Elephas maximus indicus: one gene and its partners. The protein of the gene in region 3 interacts with the protein of the main gene of each other region in a pairwise test. Links are inferred from orthologs where the notes say so. Each region holds a gene or a part of one and is shown on either strand. Other genes may lie near its edges.

Region 1 (7,121 bases), on a different chromosome or scaffold from region 3:
CTTGGATACTGGGGAAGAGAGGTATACCAAAGAGAAGGAGGCAGGTCCAGGGTTGGAAACAGGAGTAATCGATACTGGGGCATGAAACAGAGGTGAGGGAGATGGAAAGGGTTATCATGCTGACCTGTGGAAGTCCTCAATGCAGTGGATCTGGCTGGTGGCATCCACCGTGAAGGGGATGCCATCGAGGCCACGGTGACACACCACACAGGTGAAACAGCCAGGGTGGTAGGCCTTCCCCATAGCCCGAAGGATCCGGTCCAGGATGGGCTGGGAGCACATGGAGCACTTCTCCAGGGTGGCCTGTTGGGAAGGGGAGCAGGAAGGTCAGGGGACCCCATGGTAGCCCTTCAGGCATCCTGCCAGCCTACCCATCTATTTACCTAGCCTCCTGCATGTGATTCAGTGAAAGGTGGACCTGAGAGGATGAGTTCAAGTCCCAGCACTACAACTTACTGGACAAGTCATTTAACCCCTCTAAGCTACAGTCTCCAGTAAAAATGTCATCAACGATAATACCTGCCTCACAGGGCTAATGTGGGGATTTAATTTATTCCCTTAACTCTAAAATGCTTCACACTTGTAAGGAACCATTGTCTTCCCCCTCCAACAGGTTCTAGTTCTCCAACTTTGAGTCCTTTTCCTTTTTGGGGCTGGCCATCTGGCTCCCACCTATCTCCAGCTGCTGACTCCAGCCACCCAGCCCGAACCACTTACCACATAGCAGCTCTCACAGTACGCCCTCCTCTCCACAGCATAGAAATGCTGGCCCTGAAGCTGGGCCCGGCACGTAGAACAGACAAAGCAGCCAACATGGAAGACTCGGTCAAGGGCGACCACTCCGGCCCCATCCCCCACCACATCTTCTCCGCAACCCCCACACCGGCCTAGGGATAGTGGGGAAAAGGTCAATCTACACAGACCCAGAAGCCAGACCCCCACATCCTCTGCCTCTCCAGTATCACCTCCCCATGCTCCCACACTGCAGAGGCAGCTCACCAAAGTACTCCCCGCTGGGTGGGTGATTCATGTCATGCACCAGCTTCTTGGTCAGCCTCTCAAGCTCCTCCTCTGGAGGCTGGCTCAGGGGGACCTGGGAGGTGGGAATCAGGGGTTTGGTCTTACCTCTGGACTTCTGGCACTATAAAAATCCCTGTGTGTGACATGACATGCGATTCAACCCAGAAAGCCCATTTGAGAGCAGCTCAGCCCAGGACCCAGGGGAGAGCCTCGAGGAGACACCAGTGCTCTACCCCCTCTCTGGCCTCCCCCACACCCTTTGGGAATCCAGAGCTCTGACATCCCCGACCTGTGACTCTGCTCTAAAACCAGGACATTAAACACCATCCTCACCCCACCCACTCAATATCCAGTTGTCTATAAAATCCCAGTGCCGTGGACCTACCTGGGACCCGTACCTGCCTCCTCTTCCTCCTCCTGCAGGGCCAGGGACCCTGGCAGCCTCCTCTTTACCCCCTGGCCCTGGCTCCCGGTGGCTCCTATAGCCAGCCCCCCAGACTTCACCTCGGCTGGGAAGAGGAAAGTGGGGCCCCAGGAGGGGCCTAGAAGCCTGAGAGGCCCCCCGCCTGGGTGGGCCACAGCCTCTCACTGGTTGTGCCACCTTCACCTGCACAGGGAAGGCAGGGCCAGCAGGGGTGCTGGCAGTAGCATAGGAGGCCGGAGTGGGACCTCCATAGGGGGATGCTGGGAGCTGCAGGGATGGAACACCCCCTCCGTTCGGCTTCAGGGAGCCCGTGCGGTAGGCAGGGGGCTGAAGGGGCTCATAAGCCTGGGGAGAAAGAGACCACAAAGAGTAAGGAAGGCCCATTCCAGGTCACACATCTGTGGAAACCCCACGTGTGGCCCCAAGATGGGCAACTTTTGAGGAGACACTGCCCTCAGGTGGCTGACTACCTAGTAAGCTCTCTGGCCCAGGCTTCTTCATGCTGGGCGTACATCTCTCACACAGGAGTAGGACGGAGGTGGGTGGAATTCAGACTGAGAATCAATCCAGGGAAGGGAGCAGGCTGGAGGTGTGGGAAGCAGGGGACAGTAAGCAGGGTTAGGGAAGGGGAGGAGTCACCTGTCGGTCTGGTCGCCTTGGCACGTGACCACGACCCCCATCCAGCTCAGCCAGCATGCTGGTCAGCGAATCTATCTCAGCATCCAGACTTCCTGGGCCCAAGCTCCCTCTATCTAGGGGGAGCCCCTGGAGATGGAGCAAAAGCAGGGAGATGCAAATCACAACGTCTCCTCTGCCTCCCCGGGTCCCATTCACACTCGACTCATGCCCCCCACTTCCAGTATTCACCTGCGGGCGCTGGGGTGCTCCATGGGACCCCCCCCAGGCTGGCCCCCGATCCTCTGGTCCCCCTCCGGCCTGGTAACACTGCTCAGATGGGAGGGGGCAAAAATTGACTCTGGGGTGGGGCTGGAGTGCTGGGTTGAGGGGAAGAGAGACCAAAGGTAGGGATGGAGAAGACGAGGGGCGCCAAGAGGGCCCCGCCTTTCCCTCCTCCTCCACCTGGGGTCTGAGAATGGGGGCAGGCAGGACCTCCCAGCCCGCTTGGGGGAGGGGGCAAGAGTGGAGGGAAGAGGCGAGCGCTGGGCAACCGGCGGCCCCTACGGCCGCACCGCACCGGGGCTGCCTTACCTGCTCCGTGGGCCACCGGTGGCCCTGGGGGCCCTCGAGGGAACACTCTCCCCTGAGGAGCTCTGGAGGACTCCGGCTGCTTCGGGGGGAGCCAGGTGGGCTCCGACATGGCCTGGAGCGGGGGACCCCTCAGAGCCCCGGATCTCTGGCCTTGATCCTCTCTTCCTGCACCTCGTTTGGAACTCCAGGAAAGAAACTTTTTCTTCCTTTTTTTTTTCTCCCTTCCTTCCCAATTTTGGGGATGACCACGCCCCTGATGATGTCACCACATTCCTGGGGGAGGGTCACGTGGCCCCCTAGGCCCAAAACCACCAACCCTCCCAGAGTTGGCCCCTCCTGCGGGGCGGGGAGTGGTGTCCTGGATCCCGCGTTGGCTGCCTCCAGGTCGCCCGAATCCCCCAGCCCCACACCCCTTGCTGCCACTGGCTCCGCGCCCCCAAGTCCTGCACGTGGCAACCTCGCTGTCGGGACAGCTCCGGCACCCCTGTTTTCCACATGCCGATAAATGCTTCTCCCTTTCCCAAGGGCACATGGCTTTCTTGTCGACCCACCTCCCATTCCCCTGCTGCCGGGCAGTGCTCAACCAGCATGTAGTTTGTTGATCTTTTATTTACGTTCAGCAGAGTTAGAAAAATAAAACAGAACGAACACATCACAACCTCAGGGGTCAGTGAGCCTGTCAGCGATGAGAGGGAGACTGAGGTAGCCTAGAGTCGCAAGAGGAGAGCCAGCCCCTCCCAACAAGGCACCAGTGAAGGGAAGGGGGGCTGCTGACTGCCCCCCCCACAGTGGAGACTGGGATGCAGAGCTGCCCTACGTTAGTACATGGGGTCCCACTCACAATGGGAAAGGAGTTGGCCCGCCCAGAATCCCTTGACATCTCCACTGGGCTCCAGCCCCAAGTGCAGGGCAAGTGGAAAGAGGTGCTTCCTCTCCTCGACATCCACTAATCAAGAGGGGTTGCTGAGCCTGGGTGGGCCCTTTCTACCCACCATCAGGAATGGGGCTCCATTAGGCATCAGAGATCAGTGCATGTGACAGGAGTGACACCATGAATGAGTAGCGTGGGGCCCAGGTCACGGCTCAGGATCTCCAGCAACGCCAGGTATCGGAGGTATCGGGCAGGATCAGCGGGTGGCCGAGGCAGGTACAGGAAGGTCAGGGCAGTGGCAGGTCCCTCCTCCTCATCCCCACCCTCCGGCCCACCAGGCCCTCCACTTCTGCTGCGCCCCTGCTGGGCCCGAATCAGGGCGTTGGCGCTGCATGCCAGCGCCTCTGCCTCAGCATCTCCCCACCCGCTGTTCTCAAAGTACCCTTCCTCTTCCAGCTCTCTGATGCCAGCCCCCTCGCCCCATACCACTTCCTGCACTTCAGCCCGGATCCTCAGCTGGCTCAGCAGTGCCCGGAGCCGCTCCTCAGCCGCCCCAGGGGCCTCCTGAGGCCCCAAGCACAGGAAAATCCGGAGACGAGCACTGTGCCAAGCAGGCACCATGCCCAAAATGGTTGCCATCTGCAGCAGGAAGAGGCCACAGACGTCCACATAGCCGGGCCCACCCCGAGGCCGCAGCAAGTTGAGGGGCCACACGTCCATGTGGTGTGGCTGAGAAGTGCCCCCAGACCCCCGGCTCAGCCGCTCAGGGGGCAGGGCTCCACAGGCCCGAGCCAGAACCACGTTCTTGTTCATCTTGAGGGCATCCGCTACGGTGGCCACATAGTCCTGGGGACTGAGAGCCCGGGGGCTCCCAGGAGCCCGAGGTGGAGAGAACAAGGTGCTCAGGGCTGGAGGCCCCCCCTCCCTAGTGCCATCAGTAGGCTCCGAGAAAGCTGGGTCTGTCAGGAAATGGTCCTGAGGTGGGGCATCATCGTAGAAACCCAGGACCAATGTGTTGGGCTTCATGCCACCTGGGAGCAGAGGCAGGAAAGAACAGACAGGAATCAGACTCACAGATTGAGCTTCTACCACACAAGGATGCGCCCACGGACACACTGACAATTAGTGTGTCAGCCATTAAGTATTACATTTACACTGTGTGTGGGTTCTCCTGGCATTATGTATATTTGCATAATGACTTTTTCGTTTTCCTAAACACTTTCACATGCATTTATCCACTTATCTTCATCACTAACCTCCTCCTTTAAATAGTCAAAGCTCGCCTCACTTGGAGAATACGCACTTCAGGGCCATGGGAAGTAGGAACCTGTTTATTCCGCATTTTTAAGCAGCACACCTTTTTCATGATGGGAGAGTCTGACACCCTGATTAGTCAAGTTCATGGCCTCAATCCCCAGGGAAAGCACCTCAGATCCTGCTATGACATGAGACGAGCTAGGCTTCACAGCCTGTTCCTACTCCTGCAAAGCCTCGGAATGTTACGTTCACAGCACCATTCCTGAAGGAACTTACAAGGCCCCAGGTCCTGTTGAAAGCACTGGCTTTGAACAGGTTAGGGGATTTTTGCTGTTTTTTTTTTTTTTTCCTGAACCTCTGCTGAAAATTTGCATTTCTAACAAGTTCCCAGGCCATGCAAATAATTCCACCCCAGGTATACTGAATCAGAATCTATGGTTTAACAAGATCCCCAGGTGACTCTTACATATAATAAATCTTGAGAACCACTGCTCTGCTAGTGGTTCTCCGAACTGGTCCCTAACCAGCAGCATTAGAACAGCCTGGGAATAGGTTAGAAATGCAAATTCTCAGCAGGGGGCAGAACCCCCCACCCAACAAAACTGACCCATTGGAACCCTGGTTTTAACTCATTTAATCCTTGAAACAACGTTGTGAGGTAGGTAACACTTATTCTTCCATTTTACACATAAGGAACCTGAAGCACAGAGCAGGAAAGTAACATTGCCGAAGTCTCCCTGCTCTCGTAGGTACCGGGGCCAGCACATGAACGCGGCAGCCTAGCACCAAGCCAGTGTGCATGCGAACCACAACGTCCCAAGTCCCTGCCAACAGCTCCCTGTTTTGTACTACTTCCACAGTCAATGTGGAATGTGATAATCCCTCCCTTTCACAGGGCTGCATTTTCAGAAGGCTCTGAAACCACTTCCAAAACTCCTCCTCATGAAACAAACGGGCTGCAAAAAACCTACCAGTGAATCAAATTCTACGCGCCAGGAGAATGCACTACCTAGAGGAAATCCTTTCCCTTTTACTTGAATCAAGATACATTTCCTGAAAGTAGTGACCTCTTGGAGCCCTGGTGGCGCGGTGGTTTAAACATCTGGCTGCTAACCAAAAGCTCGGCAGTTCAAATCCACCAGCCGCTCCTTGGAAACCCTATGGGCACTTCTACTTTGTCGTATAGGGTCGCCATGAGTCGTAATCAACTTGACAGCAATGAGTTTGGTTTTTTTTTTTTTTTTTTTTTGGTTTAATAGCCTCTTTGCAGGTTTCCTACAAGGGTGGGGCAGAGGAAAGACCAGACTCTCAGATGCCCCTGGGCTATCTAACGATGCACCTCCCCCCACCCTACTGCAGATGAAACTAGACATCCCCTCCTGAGCATTTTCTGATGTGCACTGAGCAAAGCAATGTCCAGCACTGTCGGACATCAGATCCTAAATGGAAAAGGTGGCCACAGATATTGAGCACAAATTTGGAGGAATGTGCAGCCCAAGGCTAGAGGCCTCAGCATTAAGACACACTCACAAAGCTTGGGAACCTTCCCCATGCCCTTGGCATCCTCTGTGCTCTGTGGTCTCCGGCCCACGTTGCAATGCTCCCCACTTCTCCAGCCCATTCAAGGCCTGGCTGAGGTACCATCTCTTCACAAAAACTTTACGGGCCATATCAGTGCGTAGCAGCATTTGTTTCTCTGAACTCTGGTGCTTAGAAACCATCTGCCCTAGATTTGATAGGGCAGCCCCAGACCCAAATAATTACTCTTCTCTTGCCCCTAGAAGTACAACAGACTCATCAAAGCCTGGGCCCCGATTCTTGGTTCAGGAAAAAAAAAGTATCACCCCATCTCTAACGCTCAGCATCTTCTACTAGGCCTTATCATATACCACCATCAGCGTGGTTGTTATCTTTGAGCACTGCATCTTATCTGCACTAGATTCTGAGTTCCTTTTAGAGTTTGCAATTTGTGATTTACTCTCTGGGAGAGGGGAGTGGAGATTTAACGGGTCCACAAAGGGAGCTGGAGGAAACAGAGAGGAAGCAGCTCACCAAGGCCTGAGATACGCAGCAGATGCTGAGCCCCCTGGCGCACGGAGGGAGAGAGGGTGAGGTCCACAAAGGCCTTCACTTGGGCCCGGTCCACCAGGCTCAGCCATGCCCCATACTGCGGCTGCACAGGGTCCGAGGGCAGGGAGTCTGTGGAGAAGGTAGGCAAAGGAAGGCAGCCCATGTGGCCAAACCCCTTTACTTATTCCCAGACTCCAAATCCCAAATGAGCAGAAGAAAAAGGTCCAGGCAGGCTGTGGCAGGGTGGGTAGGTCATCTGGAAAGAAGTAT
Region 2 (7,878 bases), on a different chromosome or scaffold from region 3:
CTCTTAAGCTCCATGCCTCATCACCTATGCCCACCTTCCATTTTTCCAGAAAAGCCTATGTGCTTCAGTTAATGGACTTCCAGTCTGAAAGCCATTATCTCTACAGTTGTGGATTGACAGGTAGATGCTTTCTTACTCTTTAGCCTATGAGTCAGCCAGAATTTTATCAATTTAGCTTTAGATCTTTTTTTATTAGATTGTTATCATGAGGCCAAATGGCTAAGAATATTTATTTATCCCTTTCTTCAAAGCCCCTAGTCGTAGTGGTAGGAAATATCAAGGAAGACTATTATTTCATTATTATGATGATAATGCAAAAGTATAAGAAGTCCACAGGAGTAATAATGGACTTAGACCTTCAACATTATGAGTTCAAGCAAATTAATATCCAGCAAGAATATTCTTAAACCTAATGAGATACCTATTTGAGAAGGAAAAGCTAGGTGACTTAGAACTAAGCAGGACCTGCAAATTAACTCTGTTAATTCCCTTACCTGGGGACTGAACACCAAACAGTAGTTGAGGAACCAGAACAAAAATGGTTGAAATTGGCACAACGACACTTTGTTGTTCTGTAAACTGGGTGGTTTTCTTAATCTTTCCGACTACAGTTTCAGGGGAAGGATGAGTGCCCAGGGTTCTGGGACCATGTGTCATTGCTATGGAGATTTATCTTATTTAAGAAATTATATCACCCAGTCTTTTTGTAATGATAAACACTTGTTTCCTCATTTCCGAAAACTGGGAATTAACTGCTTTTTCATAGCTGCCTTATATATACTTTTCAAGATGACAAAAAGAGTGAATAAATCTACTCTTCCTTGAGTGTGCTAATTATTATTTTTTCTTTAGTTCATGCTAACGGAAAAAATAACTCAATAACAGTAACTTAACTGGAGAAGGTTGAACTTCTCAATCATTGGAATTAATGACTACAAATCACTTTTTCATTAGGTATTAGTGCCATAATGGGCATCTACTACTATTCCTATAGAAGACTTTAGAAACAAATACAAATTACTTCAAGTGTTTCCCAGTTTTCAAAATTACTTGATACACCTAAGTATCTAACCAAAAACCCATTGCCATTGAGGCAATTCCGACCCATATCGACCCTGTATTACTTCAAGTGTTTCCCAGTTTTCAAAATTACTTGATACACCTAAGTATCTAACCAAAAACCCATTGCTATCGAGGCAATTCCGACCCATATCGACCCTGTAGGACGGAGTAGAACTGCACCATAGAGTCTGCAATGAGCGCCTGGTGGACTCAAACTGCCAACCTTTTGGTTAGCAGCTGCACGATTTAATCACTACGCCACCAGGGTTTCCACCTAAGTATCTAGCAGCTATGAATCCAGGAGAAAATTATTTTCAATTCCAAGAGTAAAAATGATTTATCTTAAATTAAATGATTTTCAGAGCGGCGTATCACGCCGAAAACCAGTGCGTATAACACCGGAAATGGAGATGTCATCGACTCAGAAACGCTTATTCTAGATGGAAACCGAACTATACGCTTTTTCTTTATTATTTGTAATCTAAAAAAAATTTTTTTAATTGCTATTCCAGGATGGAAAGAATCTTAATGTAAAAAAAAAAAAAAAAAAAAAAACTATGGGAAGCTTGCAAAGTTCTCTAGACAAACCTTCCAGCGACGCTTTTACAGAAGGAAGCATTTAGCGAAGGGTCAGGGAGGTTAGGGAAACTATGCCTGGAGCCAGAGTCCGTCTTCCCGGAGCGACTAGACAAAACCAGGTGAGCCGGTGTCCCGGGCTCCGGATGGCGGCGAAGGGCGGGTCCCCGAGCTGCGGGCATCTTTCTGGCCAGGCGACCCCTGCCCCATCTCCGGGAGCCCAGGGACTCCCAAGGCGGGAGCGGGCTACCCGGGCGCGCTGCCTGTCACCTCCCGCTCGCTGGGAGCATCTCCCGATCCGTGGCTTGCGTGGCCAGCTCGTTCCCTCCGCCATCCTCAAGTCCTCCGACATTTTTCAGGGAGATCGGGAGGTAGAGAGAAGAGGAGCAATATCTGCACCCCGCCTCTGCCGCAGCCCAGGAAAAGGCAAAGGAGGAGAAGGCTGGCGAGGAGGCAGCTATTAAACCGATTCCATCAATAAGAAGAAGAATCCCCATCACCCACAGTGAGGGTGCTTCCGATACACCCACCCCGGCAGCGGTTCGAGGGCTGGTGGGCGTTCCTCCTCCTCCTCGCCCCCTCGCTGGCTGTGCAATCGACCCCATGAACCCACACCAGAACTCCCTTTCCTGTGACTACGAGGAGGGGAAGGAACAAAAGAGACCCCGAGCCTCGATACACACACACACACACACACTTGATCGCTGCTAAAGGTACTCATTTTTGCAAACCCTTCCCCGGCTTACACCTTCCTCACCTGAATAGTGCATTTTCCCAAAGGCAAAGAAAGGTAAGGGAGAGAAGGTATTACCCGAAGGAGATGGGTCGCTAAAAACCTGAATTCCACAGTCGGCTTCCGAACCAAACGATCACAAACGCCCCCTCCCCCGCAGGACCCGGCGCCCCCAGGCCCGCCCCCGCCCAGCGCTCCCCGCCTTGGCCCCGGGCGCCGCTCTTCGCGGGCGCCGGGGACCCCCCAGGGCGCCCTCCCTCCGCCGCCGGACATCGGTCACCCCCGGCCGCAGCTGCAGGGCGGCGAGCGGAGCGGCTGGGCAGCCCCGCGGCTCCAACTTCCCCGAGCAGCTCCCCGCGGGGACTCCGGCCCGCAGGCGCCCCGCGGGCAGGGCAGCGCTCTCCGCCCCCTCTGTCCTCTGTCCTCCATCCTCCTCCCCGCGGGCACACACGCACCCCTCAGCCTAAGCAGACATTTTGCTGTCACACAGTTAGCACGGCTCAGCCTGCACGGCCACCTCTTACCCAGTGCCTGGAGGGTGGGCAGCGCACCGAGCGGTCCGGGGGCGCGGGCGGGCGGCTCGGTCCTCTAGCGGCGCTGGTGCGCTGCCATCCGCCCAACTTCAGCACCCAGCCGGCGACGAGAGGCAGCCAGGCGAGGATGGAGGCGGGGGCGGGGAGAGGAGGAGGGTGGGCGGGCGGGAGGGAGCGGGCGCCGCTCGGCAGCGCGCATGCGTCCCGCCGCGGGCGCAGCCTCCCGCCCGGCGCCGCTGGAGGGGCCGCTGCCGCCCCGGCGCTGCCTGAGTCACGGCCCCGCCCTCCCGCCCGCGGCCCGGCCCCGCGCCCGCATGGCCGCGCCCACTGTGCGGAGGGCTCGGCGGGGCTCCGGGCAGGGCGCGCGGTCTGCGGGGCGCGGGGGCACCGGGACCTGGTGCGGGGGCTCCTGCACCTTCGCGTTCACCCGCAGCCCACGTTCTTTTATGCTGGGCTGTAGGAGAACGCTGAAAAGGAGCGAACCGGGCGCAGCACCGGGCTCCGCGTGGAAGCTTTCCCCGTGTGGAGTTCTAGAACGTGCAAAGTGAAGCAAGTTTTGCTTTATCGAGGGTCCTTTACTTTATTGGCTTCGTCATCCAGAAATAGGACCCTTGTCCCCAAGAATTATTTCAGAGCGCTCGGGTGACTCTGGTCTGGGGCATATTTGCTGGCTCAGGCGTCTGCACCACGGCAGCGAGAGATTTGAGTGGGCGAAACCGTGGGTAAATGATTAACAGAAGTGCGGATACTTGGGGCCTTGGGCATCCTTTGGGAACAGCTTGGTAGCTATCAGATCTGATAATTGTTCTAGTCACAAGCGGGGCCCAGCATGGTAGCAAAGGAGCGTTCAGACACTTTAATGCATCATGAGCGCTAGATTAGATGATTAGATTGAAGTGTTCGGAAGGAAGAATTAGGAAACGGGTGTCTTTCTCATCCGATATGATCTCTGTGGGAAGAGGAGTGAGTTCCTGGCAGGAATGATTAGGCTTTTTTCTCATCCCTTTTTAAAGCAGATTACTTGTAAGTATACATGATTTCCGTTGCTTGCATGCTCATATAGTCAGACATTTTTATCATTATGTCAGGCTCCTTTGCTAACCAACCTTCCCTCTCTCACCTTCTACTTGACTCATTTCTTCTCTAGCAACATCCTTGACTTTTGAATACTAGTGCTTTTTACAGTATATTCCCCTGACTGGTGCTGGTCTGCAAATGTTCACCGTTGTTATTGTGAGGCGCCATCAACATCAAGTCAGTTCTGACTCATAGCAACCCTATCAACAAAAGAAGGAAACACTGCCCGGACCTGCTCCATCCTCACAAGAGGTTGCCATGTTGAGCCCATCGTTGCAGCTACTGTGTCAATCCATCTCATCGAGGGTCTTCCTCTTTTTTGCTGACCATCTACTTTACCAAGCATGATGTCTTTCTCCAGGGACTGATCTCTCCTAATAACATGTCCAGAGTACCTGAGACAAGGTCTGGCCATCCTCACTTCTAAGGAGCATTCTGGCTGTAGTTCTTTGAAGACAGATTTGTTCATTCTTCTGGCAGTCCATGATATATTCAATATTCTTCGCCAGCACCATAATTCAAGAATATCCATTCTTTTTTAGTCTTCCTTACCCGTGTCCGGCTTTCAAATACATATGAGAAAATTGAAAATACCATGGCTTGGGACAGGTGCACTTTAGTCATTGACGTGATATCTTTGCTTTTTAACACATTAAAGAGATCTTTTGCAGCAGATATTCCTAATGCAACACGTCATTTGATTTTTTGGCTGCTGCTTCCATGGTCATTGATTGTGAATCCAAGTAAAATGAAATCCTTGAAAATTTCAATCATCTCTCTGTTTATAGTGATGTTGTTTACTGGTACAGTTGTAAGGATTTTTGTTTTCATTACACTGAGTTGTAATCCATACTGAAGGCCGTAATCTTTGATCTTCATCAGTGTTTCAAATCCTCTTCGCTTTCAGCAAGCAAGGTTGCATCATCTGCATATCACAGGTTGTTAACGAGTCTTCCTTCAATCTTGATGCCCCGTTCTTCTTCATATAGTCCACTTTCTCTGATTATTTGCTCAGCATATAGATTGAATAAGTATGGTGAAAGGATACAAACCTGACGTACACCTTTATTGATTTTAAACCACACGGTATCGCCTTGTTCTATTCCAACAAGTGGCTCTTGGTCTATGCATGTTATCCATATTTGTTATGATGCCTTTTGCATAGTCAATAAAACACAGGTAAACATCTTTCTGGTTTTCTCTGCTTTCAGCCAAGATCCATCTGACATCAGCAACAATATCCCTTGTTCCACATCCCCTTCTGAATCCGGCTTGAATTTCTGGCAGTTCCTGTCAATGTACTGCTGAAACCGTTTTTGAATTATCTTCAGCAAAATTTTCATTACATGTGATAGTAATTATATTATTCTGTCATTTCCACATTCTGTTGGATCACCTTTCTTTGGAATAGGCATGAATATGGATTTCTTCCAGTAGGTTGGCCAGGTAGCTGTCTTCCAAATTTCTTGGCATAGGGGAACAAGAACCTCCAGCACCGTGTCTCTTTATTGAAACATCTCAAGTAGTATTCTGTCAGTTCCTGGAGTCTTGCTTTTTGCCAGTGTCTTCAGTGCAGCTTGGACTTCTTCCTGCAATACTATCGGTTCTTGATCATATGCTACCTCCTGAAATGGTTGAATGTCAACCAATTCTTTTTGGTACAGTGACTCTCTGTATTCTTCCATCTTCTTTTGATGCTTTCTGCTTCATTTAATATTTTCCCCATTGAATCCTTCAAAATTGCAACTCAAGGCTTGAATAGTTTTTTTTTTATTATTAATGTTGTATTTTAGATGAAGGTTTACAGAACTAGCTTCTCATTAAACAATTAGTACACATAGTGTTTTGTGACATTCGTTACCAGCCCCACAACATTCTTTCTCGACCTGTGTTCCCTGTTACCAGATTTTCTGTCCCCTCCTGCCTTCTAATCCTTGCCCCTGGGCTGGTTTGCCCCTTTAGTCTCGTTTTGTTTTCTGGGCCTGTCTAATCTTTGACTGAAGGGTGAATCTGAGGAGTGACTTCATCACTAGCTAAAAGGTTGTCCGGGGACCATACTCTCAGGGTTTCTCCAGTCTCTGTCAGGCCAGTAAGTCTGGTTGTTTTTTTGTGAGTTAGAATATTGTTCTACATTTTTCTGCAGCTCTCTCTGGGACCCTATATTGTGATTCCTGTCAGAGCAGTCAGTGGTGGTAGCTGGGCACTATCTAGTGCTGAACTCACTCTGCTGGAGGCTGTGGTAGTTGTGATCCTTTAGTCTTTTGGACTAATCTTTCCCATGTGTCTTTCATTTTATTCATTCTCCATTGTTTTCAACAGGATGAGACCAGTGGAGTATTTTAGATGGCCGCCTACAAGCTTTTAAGACCCCAGATGCTATGTGCCTATGGAGGTTCCATGACTTTGCCTTGTAAAAGTTGTGCTGGCTTCCCCAGTATTGTGTAAAAAAAAAAAAAAAGTACTGCCTTAAAAAAAAAAAGGCAAAAAAAAAAAAAAAACCATTGCCGTTGAGTTGATTCCAACCCATAGAGACTCTATAGGACAGAGTAGAATTGCCCCATACGGTTTCCAAGGGGCACCTGGTGGATTGGAACTGCCAACTTTTGATTAGCAGCCATAGCTCTTAACCACTACACCACCAGTGTTTCCATGTGTACTGCCTTACTCTTCACCAAAGTAACCACTAATCTATTGTCTAGTGGTTTTCCGTCCCCACCGCTCTTCTCCCTCATAACCATTAAAGATTGTTTCTTTTTGTGTGTAAACTTTTCATGAGTTTTTATAGTAGTGGTCTCATACAATATTTGTCCTTTTGTAATTGAAGTATTTCAGTCAGGATAATGCCCTCCAGATTCAGCCACGCTGAGAGATGCTTTCCAGATTCATCATTGTTCTTTATTGTTGCGTATTACTTCATTGTGTTTATCAAACCATAGTTTGTTTATCCATCCGTCTGTTGATGGGCATCTAGGTTGTTTCCATCTGTTTGCTATTGTGCACAATGCTGCAGTGAACATGTCAGACATGGGTGCACATATGTGTATTCGTGTGAGGGCTCTTATCTCTCTACGATATATTCTTAAGTGTGGGATTGCTGGATCCTATGGTATTTCTATTTCTAGCTTTCTAAGGAAGCACCATATTGTCTTCCAAAATGGTTGTACCATTTTGCATTCCCACCAGCAGTGCATAAGAGTTCCAATCTCCCTGCAGCCTTTCCAACATTTATTATTTTCTGTCTTTTTGATTCGTACTGGTAATGACAGTGTGAGATGGTATCTCACTCTGGTTTTGACTTGCATTTCTCCAATGGCTAGTGATTGAGAGCATTTCCTCATGTGTCTTTTGGCCACCTGCATGTCTTCTTTGGTGAAGTGTCTGTTCATTTCCTTTGCCCATTTTTCAAATGGATTGTCTTTTTGTTGTAGAGGTGTTGAATTTCCCTGTAGATTTGAGAGATTAGACCTTTGTCAGATTTGTCGCAGCCGAAAATTCTTTCCTAGTCTGTAGGTTCTTTATTTACTCTTTTGGTGAAGTCTTTTGATGAGCATCAGTGTTTAATTTTTAGGGGATACCAGTTATCTAGCTTATCTTCTGGAGTTTGTGTGTCATTACTTATGGTTTATATCCTCTTAATGCCATGTATTAGAGCCTTTAGTTTTGATCCTATTTTTTTCTTCTATAATCTTTATAGTTTTTGATTTTATATTTAAGTCTTTGGTTCATTTTGAATTAGTTTTTGTGTATGGTGTGAGGTGTGGGTCCTGTTTATTTTTTTGCAGATGAACATCCAGCTTTGCCAGCAGCATTTGTTAAAAAGACTGTGTTTTCCCTGTTCGATGGACTTTGGGCCCTTGTCGATGATCAGGTGACCGTAGGTGGTTGGATTTACATCTC
Region 3 (7,344 bases):
AAATTACACTCATGGGAGAAGCTTCAGCTACATGATAGTGGGAAGCATTCATTTTTATTCAAGAAAAGGACAACTTCTTGGAAAAAACATACCACCCTTCTCTCTCTCACTACATGAAATGAATCCAGTTTGTAGGAATTAACAAATTATAGCCCAGGCAAATACACTGATGCTTAAGCATACCTGAAACTTCAATATATTTATTACAGACATCTTAAGACCCGTAACTCTGCTCTGATCACATCACTTCAGAATCTCAGAGCTGTTCATGATTGTACAGGAAATGGGGAGTACCACAGGCTCACAAAAAACTGACAGAACTCAGTGTGGTACTTCAGGGAAATCAAAACATTGTGTGACATGCAAAAGACGATTCACGAATCACACAAAATATACATTCATTGAGCCATCCATCACGTTAACAACTAAGCTGAAAATACATCATATCCAGCTAAGATAACTGCGAAAGGAAGAAGCTGGTTTGAATACCTTTAGGTTCAGAATAATCCAGCACAAATTTTAAGTGGAGGGGGGCGGCCAGTGAAACAAGAAGGGGAAGGGATGGGGAGACAGCACAGGAAGCCAGGTTTCTGAACCTTGTGCTCTGTAGGCAGACCTTCTTAACTCACTGAAAATGAATTGAGGCTACTCTCTGAAGCATCTGATTGGGTTTAAATGAGAATGTATTCTTTTACCTATAACCACATATAAAATTGTACCAGCTTTGAGTTTGCCCACCCTGTTATAGTCACTTAATCCAAACATTTCTAGAAAATTTGTATAAAGATAAATCTCTCAGGACAAAGTATTTACAACCAGCAAACTCACACACATGAAATTGAATTAAATTAAGGGATGAATTGTGTAAACATGCTCATAGTGCATCTCTTCTTCATGAGCTCCTAGACTCTGTGTGTGTGTGTGTGTATATATATATATAGCCTACCTTTAAGATCAGGGTAGGGGAGGACTAAATATACAGATAAGTAAAAGATGAGAGGCTGTCCTCTGACATGTTTCTGCTGGCAAAGGGAACTATTTTCCAAAGGGGATCCAAAAGAACAGTAGGTTCTGTAAAAATAGAAAAGTGGGTAGAACTGTTAAGGGCCATCAGAAAATTGATGCTGGCACCCGATCTGGATTAAGAAGTTAACCCCCCACAAAGTCTCTGGTCTAGAATGCTCTAGAAACACATTAACCTGGCCAGAAGCTCCCCATATAGGACCAGAAAGGAAGAGAGAGACTGGAACTGGAAAGGAAGGTAAGCTAAGAATGTGCTTTGGGTTAGAAGTCCCAGCCCAAGGAGAAACCTGGACTACAGAGTCTGGGGCTGGGGTGCCCTCAGTGGGAGGTAGTCAGAGTGTCTGAGGTAGAAGACCCCGGGGAAGGAACGCAGGGTGAGGAGCTGGACTTCTCTGAGGATTCCTCGGCTTTCTCATCGCTTCCCGGCGGGGTGGCCGGAGAGATGGGTAAGAGGCCCTCCTTCTCCCGTTTCTTCTGCTTCATTCGGCGGTTCTGGAACCAGATCTTCACTTGGGTCTCGTTGAGCTGCAAGGACGCGGCGATCTCCACCCTGCGAGCTCGCGTCAGGTACTTGTTGAAGTGGAACTCCTTCTCCAGCTCCGTGAGTTGTTTCGTCGTGAAATTGGTACGGACCGCATTAGGTTGACCCACGTAGCCGTACTCCCCAACTTTCCCTGGGGTCAGGATGGAATGCGACGAGAGAAAAAGGTAAGAAAATTAAATCGACATGAGGGACATTTATCCCCTACACGCTTCAGAGCAACATTCAGGTAAAGGAGAGATGAAGAACTTGTGGGCACAAAACGGGCTGGGGAGGGTGAGTGATGAGATGTGAGGCGTTAACCTGAAGTCAACCATCAGTTTGGTCAGACCCCGTGATTAATGGAACCTGAGATATTAACAGAACCCACACTCATTCACTTGCTACTTCCAGAACCTCTCAAACTCAGTCCCTTTGAAAACGCATCCGTCCCAGAAGCTTCCGTGCCCCAACACACCTGGGCAATCTCCTGCCCCACAACACCGGTGTTAAGCAAGAACTTTTTTTTTTTTTTTAAGACCGTTATTAACTTTCCTTGAGAATTAAGCATACCAACCCCTTGTAGTATCATCAAGGAGCATCCATCGGCTGGCAGTAGACTAGGACTGACCTGTTTTGGGAGGGTTTCTTTTGACTTTCATCCAGTCAAAGGTCTGCGCTGGAGAAGATGTCTCCGACGCAGGGGAGCGACAGGCTTCTTGGTGGCTGGCGTGGAGAGGGGACAAGGAGTTATTATACGTGGCCAAGGCCAGGCTCTGGTGCTCCTGTCCATATGAATGGTGAATGTACTGAGGCGAGCCCACTGCGCCCCCAGCATAACCCTGGTGGTGGTGATGATGCTGGACCATGGGAGATGAAAGATTTCCAGAGTAAACAGCGGGAGCGCACGGGGGGTACCCACCACTTACGTCTGCTTCCTGATTTAATGCGTAGGGGCTGTAAGGCGCGCCAAAGTTCTGTGCGCCGTAGCTTGTACTACAACTCGAGTGGGAGTAGGACACCCCCAGGTTCCCAGAAGTCTGGTAGGTGGCCGGCTGGGGGTGGTGGTGGTGGTGGTGGTGGTGGGGTGGGCTGATCTGCACCCCCCGGCCTACTAGGAAGCGGTCGTCGCCGCCGCAGCTGTTGGCACTGACCGCGCACGACTGGAAAGTTGTAATCCCATGGTCCGAGGGGTAGGCTCGCCCTGAGCAGGTCCCCGAATCACCACCGCTGAGGATGGGGTATTCCAGGAAGGAGCTCATTCTTGCATTGTCCATCTGTCACTGAGTGACTGGATCCTGCGACGCCCTGGGTGATCGTGCCAACTTTCTCACTTCCTCCATGGGGCCAGAGAAGAAAAATGATATGAATGTACAGTGAGCGGGAGGGGGGGCGGCGGGAGGGCCGAGGGAGCAAGGGGAGGGGCACGTGACTATGTCAGCCAATGGCTGAGCCTCCTGCGAAATTTTGCAGGCTCCAGCAGTGATGGATCACCGTTTCAGTGGCATTTAAATCCCCGGCGCTCCTCCGCCTAGGTGACGCGCAATCGCCCCCCCAGGCAGCCCAGGCGGCGGCAGCAGCTGCGGTGTCTGCAAACAGCGGATTCGGAGCGCTGGGGCTAAGGGGGGCGGCTGTCTTCAGCGCACGCCCAACTCCGCTCGCCCCCCGTCCTGGAGGTGGGGGCTGGGGGGCATTCCCCGCTCCGTGCCCCTCCCCGTCGTGCACAGGAAGATGAACTGGCAAGAGGTGAGAAGGCGAAAGGGCTCCCGCTCTCTCGGGTCGGGAATCAGTGGGCTGGAACTCGCCGGGCGGCCGCAGGTACGCGGGCCCAGAGCGAAGCGCTCGGAGCCGGAAGGGTAGGCACTGGGCCGGAGCCGCGCCCCAGGATCTCCTAGCGTTTTCACTGTACTGTCCCTGCTGTGGGACCTTGGGGCCGGGAGGAGCGCTGAGAACGATGGCGGAGGCGAAACTGGGCCATCGGATCTCCAAGCTCCAAGCAGAGAGGGAAGTGAGCAGAGAGCTGATTGGGAGGAACCCGGGGTGAGCGTGGAGGGGATGGGGGCAAGAAAAGAAACTCCCCCTTCCCCGGTCGCCGTAGCGGCCTTCCGGCCCCACACCCTCGCCATTAGCATGGCAATGAGGAGCTTCGGTAATTCGACGCCCAGGGGCGGGTGAGCGCTTGCTGCCGAGTTTGCAGGAAAAGGCCTAGGGTGGCGGGGCTCTTCTCCGCCCTTTCTCTCTCCTCGCTCTCCGCCCCTTTCTCCTCCCCACTCAGCTTTGCTCCGGGAGCCCTCCGGGAAACCCAGCAACTCTGCCACTAGATTTTGAGGCGTAGGAGGCGGGGGAAAGAGATGACGCTAGCGGACGTAGCCAGCGTGGTGGTCGGGCCGCGCGCTGCAGGCCATCTGCGGGCTCCCCAGGACCCAGGAGTCTGCGTGCCCGGGCGGGAGCCTCAAAGGGCGGGAGAACCACAGCTCCAAGAAAACATCCCCCCCCCCACCCGCCACCTTCCTCTTTTTTGGAAGGAAAATATTAGGAGTGGGAGAGCCTCCTTTACCCGCCCCCTACATTCTACTGCACGTCAGGGGTGGGGGCTGGCAGGTGGGAGAGGCGGTAGACAGATGGCTGATGGTGGACTGGACACTTGCCTCTTCCCCAGCACCATCTCCTCCCCTTTCCAACTGACTGCGTAGCTGCTTGTATTAGCCATCTAGTCTTTCCCTAGAGAGACGCGTGCAAATCTGAGCGTCATCTCGGGCCAGGGGTCCTGTTCTCCATCACCCTCGTCCTACTCTGATGCTGATGGGGTCGTTAATTGGTGTTTACTATTAGGTTTGGCGACACCCCTGGGCTAGTGGAGAGAAAAGGCCAAACCGAGGCCGAGAACTGATGCATTCTTAGGTAGAAGAAATCTAGAGACCATGCAAGAAGTTTTGCAACCAATGCCCTATAGATTTTACTCTATGTTTACAACATCAAATCCGACAGATGAATTTTTTTGTGAGGATTACATGTGGGTTTGCGTTTCCCACTCTCCTCTTGCTTCCCCTCCCCCAGTTTAAAAGAACTAAGTTTGGTTGAGGTAGGTACATTTCAAAGGTGTTAGTCACCTTTTCAGGCTTCTGTGTTCTGTTCTTCAAATATAGAGACTCCGCCCCCCCCCCGCAAAAAAACCTGCCTCCCCAAGAAGGAAAACCCATGCAGACCTTTGGCTCTGAACTCCTCGTAGCAAAGAGACGTTTTTCCCCCAAACACTTCCTTTTGAAATGGTATTTCTCAGTGATCTTTGACCCTTTCCCATGTGTAGTTAAGAGGGGGCACAGGCAGGAAAGGTAAGATTCAGCTCCCGGGGAACTCGCTCCAGATGCAGCTCTTGGGGAACCTCCTCCAGTAGAAGGGAGTAGGCAGGGCGACCCTCCTGGAAGCGGCTTCCTTCAGAGCGCCAGGCCTTCAGGGGAATGGCGAGAGAAGGCGCCCCTTGGGGAAGGGGGAGGGAGGATCTGTGCTGGCTGTGCGGGCGATCTGCTCTTCAGGCCTAAGCTCCTCAGTACGTTCTCCCCCCGGCCTCATTTCTATACTTCCGTTGGCCTCCTCCGGCCGAGCGTTCGCGAACCCCTCCGTCGCATGGTGCCAGTTACAAAGCCGCCCTCGGCCACAGTCACGCATCCTCCTTTTCTAGCAACCAGGCCTCCGTGCTCCTCTCTCTCCACCTCTCTTCTTCTCTCCTAGCTTCTTTTCGGGGACAGCCTGGGTGGGTTTGTTTTTCTTCCTTTCCTTAGGGTCAGAAGCGTACACTCGCACACAGGCCTGCAGACACACGGGCCGGTGACCATCCCTTCTCTGCGCTCAGCTCCGGTAGGCCGGGCTCTCTAAGCCGAGCGGGCTCCTCCTCTGCCGGCCGCCGGGAGCGCCGCTCTCCCCGGGCGGCTCCCAAAGGCAGCCTCCCCTGGCCTCAAGCCCGTAGGCTTCCGTAGCTCGGTTCCTTCCCTACCTCCCCACCCCCTCCAAGAAATTCTGGGACCCGGTCTACAGGATTGGAAACGCTTGGCCCTCTGGGCTCGCAGGCCAGCGCCCAGCCTCGAGCTAATGTCTTTGAAACGCCCGGGAGGAGTGGGTGAAAGGCGAGCTTGGTCACGATTAAAATAATCTCCCACAGTAGGTTCCCTGGGCTCAAAGCACCTCTTTCAGGGCTCTTCTACTATACAGGGAAGGAGCGAGGAGGAAACAAAACGCCGCCGAGGCCCGGAGCTGTTCAGGGCATCCGCGGCTCAGCCAAGCTGTTGTTTTAAAAGAGCAATAAAAATGAATTATGACTAAACGCCTTCTAACTTAATGCTTTCGGACGGGGATCCCCGGCAAATACGTAAGAGGATTTTTATTTGTGCATGTGTTCCTGCAATTGATCTCTTTGATGACATTCTCATTCATAGAAAGCGGTTGATTTATGAGCATAGGACGAATCGCATCCAGCCGCCGCGCAGCCCTGGCCGGGGCTGAGCCGCCCTGCTCCGCGCCGCGTCTGGGGCCCGGAAACCCGGCGCAATCTCCACACAACCCCGCCGCTGCCGGAATTTAGGGGGTAAAGGGGCGGGGGGAAAGTGGGGAGCAAATGGTTGGAGAAAAATCGCGATTTCATTGTAACTTCCAAGCCTTTGCATTTAAAAGCCGGGTTGGTAAATCAACCGGCACCACACATGTTGCTTACACGCTACATTTTCTCACGGTAAGTAAGTAGCCTGCAGAACAGAGCTCAGAAAGGAAAAAATAAACATGGGAACATGTAAGAAAGGGGAAGAAAAAAAAAAAGAGCAGCCCAATAACACACCCTAGATCATATTTTATTGATGTACCATTTAAAGTGCTTATTTTTTCGTTCTCTAGAAATTGGGTTAATTCATAACCTAGAGTGCAGAAACACACTCCGTTTTAAATCTCGACTTGCTAACCTGGCTTCAAAGCTTTAATGATCCATTATTTGCAATGTAAACAGGTTGAAGAATGAAATATTGATTTTTCTGACCCTGAAAAAAAAGAATACTAGAATGACAGAACCAGAGGATTGAAAAGAACACTTTCTGCAGTGCGCTTTCTAGCTAGTAACCATTGTTTTGTCGTATTTTTGTTTTTAGGTCTGTTTGCCTGAACCCATCAACAGCTGGGAGAGGAATCAACCACTCTGAAAATGTGTGTGTGGGGAGGGGGGGTTGTGGGGGAGGGGCTGGAATGTAGATGTTTTAAACAAACGTGTACAAATAAATGAATTGCTGGTAACTTAGTTATTGACCTGGAGACTGGTAGCTTGTTAAAGAAACTCCACGTTCCTCTTTGCTGGAGTGGGAGGTTTCTGTAGGCACTTTATTTCTCCACTTTGAAAAGCTTCAGTTTGGCCCTTCTCTCTGCCCCATCCTGTTTCTATTGCCCATTCAAATCTGTGGCTAGAACCTCTACGCTGAAACCAAATCTATTCCCTTCAAAACAAAAAACATTTCTCAGAAGCTGTAGCCATATTCTGGCTTTCTTTTGTTATTGTTGATGCTGTCTAAAGAAGACTTTAAACATGCCCCTTAATAAACGTACTAAAATTGAAAAAGAAGATAAATTGTGACTAGAATTTTATTTACCAAGTTAGACTAAAAAGAAGAAAAAGAAACCATTATGAGCCATGAGAAAGAGGGGGAGAAAAAAATAGAAAGCTACTTGTAGCAAAGGAGAATTTATTCTACCAAAAATACGCATGACAATGCATCCTAATGTAATACAAAAATAAAAAGAAAGTGAAGATACCATTATATGATCACTTT
Region 4 (7,613 bases), on a different chromosome or scaffold from region 3:
GCAAATTCTGCTATTTTACATACATTTAGACACAGTGCTTCTTTTTGTGCAAATACACTAGTACATCATTTGGATTATTTTTCGTAGCAATACTGAGAAACATCTTATTAAATAAATTTTTCTTCTTTAACTAATTCATTAATTTACAAATCAACAAGAATAGAAAATTAAGTTGAGAGATGTAGAATCTTTAGGAGAAGAAACGAGAGAGAGTCTATAATTCTTTAAGATGAGTATGGGTGCCCATCTTTCACAACGCATTTCTAATAAGGACTAAATTCTACAGTAATATCTGTACGCACCTTTTAGTATTCCTTTCAATTCTTGGGCCACTAATTAATCCCTACACACGGCCCTTGTCTCCATCTTGCTATCCTGGAAATACATACCCTGGGTCATGAAGGGTTCTAGAGGAGAAAACAGGTGGATCAGTGGAAATCCATCATTATAAAAGGGGGGAAATAAAAGGAAAGAAGAAACTCAACTCCAAAATTCCAAGCACTGTCCTGCCATAAAGAGACTTGACAAAATCACCACATCAATTTCACATTAACTACTTTCTTGATTAGAGGATGGAGAACTCTCTTCTAATAGTTGTTTTTGTGTATCTCTGGATTTTTTTTTCTTGAGAAGAATATTAAACTAATTGGAAATTAATGGAATTAATTGGCAGCAATGTTCTTCTCTTGGGGTGAACCTCTTTCTGTAGCCACATTCTCCATTAGGAATCTGAATGCTAGTTTAGTGTCTCCAGACAATTACTTAACTCTCATAAAAATATGCAGCCTCAACTATTTGGTCTGTTGAGACCCGTCAGGGAGAGAAACTTCTGAGTGGCAATTGAGTTTCAGTATCAAGTGGGATTGGAATCATTAAACAGGGAGCATTCTGTACATGGTGTTAGAAGTAGAGACCAACACCAGGGAAAGAGACTCATGGGTTACTTGGGTGGGCTGGTCCTTCCAACTGCATGTCCTCGCCACCCTGCTGATTTTGGTGACTGCAATTCAGGATGAAGCTTTCAGCCTCGTGTGGAACCAAAGGTACTAGGCATGCTGATGAAAGTTGCATTTAAAGATATTGGCTACACTTGGTTGTGGCTGTTGCTGTTAGGTGCCGTCTAGTTGGTTCTGGATCACAGTGACTCTACGTACAACAGAATAAAACACTGCCCTGTGCTGTGCCATCCTCACAATTGTTGCTATGTTCGAGCCTAGTGTTGCAGCCACTGATGTCAATCCATCTTATTGAGGGGCTTCTTCTTTTTTGCTGACTCTGTACTTTACCAAGCATGTCCTTCTCCAGGGACTGATTCCTCCTGATAACACTCCCAAAGTACATGAGATAAAGTATCACCATTCTTGCTTCTAAGGAACATTCTGGCTGTACTTCTTCCCACACAGATTTGTTTGTTGTTTTGGCAGTCTACGGTATATACAAAATTCTTCACCAACACCATGATTCAAAGGCATCGATTCTTCTTCAGTCTTCCTTATTTGCTGTCCAGCTTTCGTATGCATATGAGGCAATTGAAAATACCATGGCTTGGGTCAGGCACACCTTAGTCCTCAAAATGACATCTTTGCTTTTTAACACTTTAAAGAGGTCTTTTGCAGCAGATTTACCCGGTGCCACGTATCGTTTGATTTCTTGACTGCTGCTTCCATGGGCTTTGACTGTGGATCCAAGTAAAATGAAATCCTTGACAATTTCAATATTTTCTTCGTTTATCATGATGTTCCTTACTGGTCCAGTTATGATGATTTTTGTTTTCTTTATGTTGAGGTGTAATCCATACTGAAGGCTGTAGGCTTTGATCTTCAGCGGTAAGTGCTTCAAGTCCTCTTCACTTTTAGCAAGCAAGGTTGTGTCACCTGCATATCACAGGTTGTTAATGAGTTCTTCCTCCAATTCTGGTGCCATGTTCTTTTTCATGTAGTCCAGCTTCTCAGATTATTTGCTCAGCATACAGATTGAATAAGGATGGGGAAAGGATACAACCCTGATGCACACATTTCCTGACTTTAAACCATGAAGTATCCCCTTGTTCTGTTTGAATAACTGCCTCTTGGTCTATATACAGGATCCTCATGAGCACAATTAAGTGTTCTGGAATTCCCATTCTTTGCAATGTTATCCATAGTTTGTTATGATCCACACAGTCCAATGCCTTTGCATAGTCAGTAAAACACAGGTAAACATCTTCCTGGTATTCTCTGCTTTCAGCCAGGTTCCATCTGACATCAAAAATGATACCCTTAGTTCCATGTCCTCTTTGGAATTGGGCTTGAATTTCTGGCAGATGTACTGCTGCAACTGTTTTTGAATTATCTTCAGCAAAATTTTACTTGCATGTGATGTGGATATTTTTAGATAATTTCTGCATTCTGTTGGATCACCTTTCTTTGAAATGGGCACAAAAATATGGATCTCTTCTAGTCAGTTGGCCAGGTAGCCATCTTCCAAATTTCTTGGCATAGATGAGTGAGCATGTCCAATGTTGCATTCGTTTGTTGAAACATCACAATTGGTATTCTGCCAATTCCTGGAGCCTTGTTTTTCACCAATGCCTTCAGTGCAGCTTGGACTTCTTTCTTCAATACCATCGGTTCTTAATCATATGCTGCCTCCTGAAATGGTTGAACATCAACCAATCCTTTTTGGTTCAATGACTATGTGTATTTCTTTTGATGCTTCCTGTGCCATTCAATATTTTGCCTACAGAATCCTTCAGTATTGCAACTTGAGGCTTGAATTTTTTTCTTCAGTTCTTTCAGCTTGAGAAATACCGAGCATACTCTTCCCTTTTGGTTTTCTAACTCCAGTCTTTGCACATTTCATTATAATACTTTACTTTGTCTTCTCCAGCCACCCTTTGAAACTTCTGTTCAGCTCTTTTACTTCATCATTTCCTCCATTTGTTTTAGCTACTTGACATTCAAGAGCAAGTTTCAGAGTCTCTTCTGATATCCATTTTGGCCTTTTCTTTCTTTCTTGTCTTTTTAATGATCTTTTGCTTTCTTCATGTATGATGTCTTGATGTCATCCCACAACTCATTTGGTCTTCAGTCTTTAGCATTCAGTGTGTCAGATTTGGAAACCCTGGTGGCATAGTGTTTAAGTGCTACGGCTGCTTACCAAAGGGTCGGCAGTTTGAATCTGCGAGGTGCTCCTTGGAAACTCTATGGGGCAGTTTTACTCTGTCCTATAGGGTCACTATGAGTCAGAATCGACTCGACGGCACTGGGTTTGATTTTTTTGTGTGTGTGTGTCAGATCTTTTCTTGAGATGGTCTCTAAATTTAGGTGGGATATACTCCAAGGTTGTATTTTGGCTGGTGGCACACATGGTTGGGGATTAGAAAGGGAGACATCAGGCTGCTGTTCATGAGAATACTTAAAAATCTATGCCCTAAGTACAAAACATGGCCAGTTTGGGAGCAGTAGACTTTTCTGGGAACCTCATACTTTACCAGGTTTGGTTGGTTCTTACTGATCTGAAGTCTGGGTGGATCTTGACAGAGAGGCCAGGTTTTATTAAAGGTAGTAAGTAGTAGCAATGAATGATGCCACCCAAAGTCTCAGAGATTCCAATTGTATTAGGTTAAATAAAAATAATGAAAACAAGCACCAAAAACCCTAAACCAAACCCGTTGCTCTCAAGTCGATTCCAACTTGAAGCAACCCTATAGGACAGAGTAGAACTGCCCCATAGGGTTTTGAAAGAGTGGCTCGTGGATTTGAACTGTCAGCCTTTTAGTTAGCAGCCAAGTTCTTAATCACTGTACCACTAGGGCTCCACTGCTCTACCAGGACTCCTAAAACAAGCACAACTTCTTTTTATTGAAAACACAGTATTTTTGAAGCAATATCTATACCAAACACTTTACATTTTCCAAATAAGGAAACTAAAGCTTAGAGGAGTTAAATATATTATTTACTCATCATCTGGTGCTAGTAAACAGCAAAGCTGGAATTTGAATACAAGTCTGTCTCATTCCAAAGTTTGTACTGGCTTTATTATTTTATCATTCTGACACATAACCTTTGTCCCTTGAGGGCAACATGCTCCCTTGGATATATGTCAAAAACTAGAAACTTCTAGGTAGGATAATCTTTCTCTAACAAACATGCGAGGCATCAGTGACCCAGAAGACATCTTCACATAGCTCTAAATAACTGAAGTCCATCTGGTATATCCATTAAAAAAAAAAAAAAAGTTTTCGTCAAGTCATCTCAGACTTGTGGCAACGCCACGTGTATCAGAGTAGAACTGTTTTCTGTAGGGTTTTCAATGGCTGAGTTTGAGGAAGTAGATTGCCAGACCTTTTTCCCCAGGCGCCTGTGGGTGGACTGAACCTCCCGGCTTTCGGTTAGGTTAGCAGCCGGATATGAACTTCATCACCTCGCTGGAGCTGTTTCCTTCCTCGATCACCCAGAGGGCAGCCTGCGGCAACGATCCCCCTGAGCCCTCTAGTGGTCCACGCGGGAATCAGCGTTACTAGGAACATTCTCAAAGCCGGGCCGGTGTTGCCCAGGGAAGCAAGGCTGTGTGACACCGCCTAGAGTCACCCTCATAGCTTCCCTTTAGGTGCTCCTGGGGCATGTCCACCACACTGCTCCAACTCAAGATGACTTCTCAAACCTGTCAAGTGTGCACTCTTGGATGCTACAGGGTAGATTGTATCACTAAGTTTCAGGAAGAAGCAAATACAGGTATCTAGAGGACGTGGCAGCAAGTCCAAAATATATTTTTGTATGTCCCTCAAAATGCACAGGGTAGTTTTTTTAAGTTGACCCCCAGAAGCAGCTCTGGATATCTTATACTTACCCAAGGTAAATACTTAAATAACTCTAGTAACAACCTTAGGTTACGAGGGGATAGTATAAGTATGATATTCTGGGATGTTTACGGTTGTTTTTGTAGGGTATTTTAAAATAATATTGGCAAATGATACATTGTCTAATGCAGGAATACTATCAGTTTTTTTTCATGATTTTTATATAATCATGATGACATGACATATTACAATAGTTTCCCTGTTATTAGTTTAATATAGTAACTATAACTGTAGGTTATTCTTATTTTGGAATATAAATATATAAGTCTATTTAAATATACATATATTTTAACATGTGTATTTCAGATATCAAATGTAGACAGCAAGTATATATTCTACTGCCTCTACTGCAGTTTTATTGACATTATTATATTATCTAAAATAGACCAATTTATTTTGAAAAAAATAGTTGCTGTTTTAAAGTAATTTCAAGAGAAAAGACTATCAGTATATTTTCATGGAAAAAAATATAGATTGTTAATAAAATAGGAAATAACATTTTCATTTGGCATATTCTGTTAAAAGCTACCCTGTCAACCACTTAACTTACAGACAAATCAAAGCAAATTTGATTTGTTGAGAAAATATTTACAGGGTTTTTCAGTACCGTGTTAAATGCTATAGAAAATATAAATAGGACTATGACTTGATTCCTATCCTCAAGATTCTGGGGGAGAAGTAAAGACAAGTATCTAAATACCTTGTAATGAAGACAAAAGTGGAATCCTATCATCTCAGCAAAACAAAAACAAACTAATAATCCCAGAAATAAAAAAGAGAGAAAGATTACAACTTAAATAGTGCTGGCAGTATTGCCCACCTTTCCTTTCAATGATTGCCTGGAGTGAGCGTGACAGGAGTAATATGAATCTGTGATTCCCTCGGTTTATCTCTGTTCCGGGTACCTCTCAAGTGCAAGCATGTTACTCAGCTGAGTGTTATTCTAATTTTTAAAGATATGCGTATATGCATTTTTCATATAAAATGGACCCTAAAAGCAAGCCAACTACTTCATCTGGTGCTCAACCAAAGAAACAGGAATCTGTTCCAATGCTGGAGGAAAAACTGGCTGTGTCCAACCAACTCGGGGTCTCCAGTGGAGAGCCTTTCGAAGGAATTTTCCAGGGTAATATTCATTATTCATGATTTTCTCATTTTTAATTTTAGAATCTGAGTAGTGTAACACTATTGTAAGATAAATAAGGATTGTAAGAATGTCATCATATTGTATTTTGGAAGATTAATTTGATAATAATATTTTGCATGAACTGGAAGGATAAATTAGAGACAGAGAAGCAATTAACAAGCTATTATGTGTTGAACTGGAGAATGTTTTGTTGTGTATTATTTTCACCACAATTTAAAAAAAAAAAAGCTGTTATGGAAAAGGAGCCTGGGTGGCTCAGTGATTAAGAGCTCGGCTGCTAACCAAAAGGTCGGTGGTTGGAATCCACCAGTCACTCCTTGGAAACTCTACAGGGCAGCTCTACTCTGTCCTATCCCTATAGGTTGTTATGAGGTGAAATCGACTTGAGGGCAACAGGTTACAGGGTATTATGGAAAAAAAAAACAAAAAAAAAACAAAAAAAATATGCTGTTATGTCTGTAGAGGTGAATAAGAGGGTAATGATTGTCTGACCTGGGGTGGAGGTAGAATAAGTTAACCTTTTACAATTGACTAGGATGGGTTAAAAATAGAGGTTTTAAGTTTGGGTGATAATGAGATTAGAGACACCTTTAATCAGAATTAAGGAAATCAGGAGAAGAACTGGTTTTGGTCAGGAAGATGAGTGTTTTTTAGGTGGAGCGCAAGGTGACTGTGGGACATCCAAGTAGAGATGTTCATTAAGGGGTTGGAACTGTACGAAGACGGTCGAGGTATGTTGTGTTTAGGAATGGCAGTTGAAATCATAAGAGTAGAGAAGATGTCTTATAGAAAGAAGAACTAAACCAGTTAATTCTGACTCACAGTGACCCCATGTGTTTCAGAGTAGAACTGCCCTCCGTAGGGTTTTCTTGGCTGTGACCTTTTGTAAGCAGATTGCCAGGCCTTTTTTCTGAGGCTTCTCTGGGTGGATTCAAACTGCCAACCTTTCAGTTAGTAGCTGAGTGCTTAACTGTTTGTGCCACCCAGAGACTCCATATAGAAAAAAGACAGAAACCTAAGTGTAGGTTTTTGGGGATTACCTGCCTTTGGAAGGTGGAGAAAGAAAAGAAGCCTCCAAGGGGGCCAAAGATGGAACATTTAGAATCAATATTCAGGGCAAGGGAATTTTAAAAAGAGAGAAATGTTGCTGAAAGTTCAAGAATTATATAGAAAATAATGAACTAACTTTGGAGGTACAAGGAAGAAAAGAACATAATAGGAGAATAAGAGAAGAGAAAACTTTTAAAGAAGGACAGGGATGTGATAATTTCAGGAAGGAGAGATAGCAAATGATTTTAAGTGTTGCTGAAATTCCAAGGAGGGATGGAAACGGAATTTGGAGAATTAGGAGTTTAAATCCAAAACTAGCTTATAGGGTCTACCAGAGAATTTTTTTCCTGGTTTATAAATTTGTGTAAGACTAACCAATGTATTAAAAAAAAGCTCATATTTAGTTATATAGTTAATTCTGTATATACTCAAAACAAAAGTATAGGAAATGGGTTTTCTCACAGATGACCATCAAAGTCATCATTTGTGACCATATAAAAAAAGTGTGGATCAAAGACAGGTTGCAAGCCAACGAATGAATTGAAGTATAGGCTTTGCTTTTGAGAAGTTTGGTAA

Evidence for each region.
Region 1: the proteins of HOXA1 (region 3) and TRIP6 interact in a two-hybrid assay, tested with the Homo sapiens proteins (2 studies listed by BioGRID and IntAct). The two-hybrid records come from large-scale screens. The link is inferred for Elephas maximus indicus from reciprocal best matches to the Homo sapiens genes HOXA1 and TRIP6.
Region 2: the proteins of HOXA1 (region 3) and RGS17 interact in binary tests that used the Homo sapiens proteins (3 or more experiments, as listed by UniProt). The two-hybrid records come from large-scale screens. The link is inferred for Elephas maximus indicus from reciprocal best matches to the Homo sapiens genes HOXA1 and RGS17.
Region 4: the proteins of HOXA1 (region 3) and NELL2 interact in binary tests that used the Homo sapiens proteins (3 or more experiments, as listed by UniProt). The link is inferred for Elephas maximus indicus from reciprocal best matches to the Homo sapiens genes HOXA1 and NELL2.

What each region holds. Positions count from the first base shown.
Region 1 is NC_064830.1:92,227,450-92,234,570, reverse strand, and holds the start of TRIP6 (thyroid receptor-interacting protein 6), read right to left. Parts: upstream 3,013-7,121; 5' UTR 2,763-3,012; coding exon 2,654-2,762; intron 2,440-2,653; coding exon 2,312-2,439; intron 2,210-2,311; coding exon 2,084-2,209; intron 1,790-2,083; coding exon 1,406-1,789; intron 1,094-1,405; coding exon 1,000-1,093; intron 888-999; coding exon 718-887; intron 304-717; coding exon 125-303; intron 1-124. Other genes in the region: SLC12A9 (solute carrier family 12 member 9), read right to left, coding at 3,672-4,555, 6,834-6,980. UniProt on the Homo sapiens protein: Relays signals from the cell surface to the nucleus to weaken adherens junction and promote actin cytoskeleton reorganization and cell invasiveness. Involved in lysophosphatidic acid-induced cell adhesion and migration.
Region 2 is NC_064819.1:224,721,737-224,729,614, forward strand, and holds the start of RGS17 (regulator of G-protein signaling 17), read right to left. Parts: upstream 3,013-7,878; 5' UTR 2,896-3,012; intron 1-2,895. UniProt on the Homo sapiens protein: Regulates G protein-coupled receptor signaling cascades, including signaling via muscarinic acetylcholine receptor CHRM2 and dopamine receptor DRD2.
Region 3 is NC_064826.1:88,263,930-88,271,273, forward strand, and holds HOXA1 (homeobox protein Hox-A1), read right to left. Parts: upstream 2,882-7,344; 5' UTR 2,821-2,881; coding exon 2,175-2,820; intron 1,698-2,174; coding exon 1,342-1,697; 3' UTR 505-1,341; downstream 1-504. UniProt on the Homo sapiens protein: Sequence-specific transcription factor. Regulates multiple developmental processes including brainstem, inner and outer ear, abducens nerve and cardiovascular development and morphogenesis as well as cognition and behavior.
Region 4 is NC_064822.1:99,697,162-99,704,774, reverse strand, and holds the start of NELL2 (protein kinase C-binding protein NELL2), read left to right. Parts: upstream 1-4,601; 5' UTR 4,602-4,835; intron 4,836-5,688; exon of another isoform or gene 5,689-5,966; intron 5,967-7,613. UniProt on the Homo sapiens protein: Plays multiple roles in neural tissues, regulates neuronal proliferation, survival, differentiation, polarization, as well as axon guidance and synaptic functions.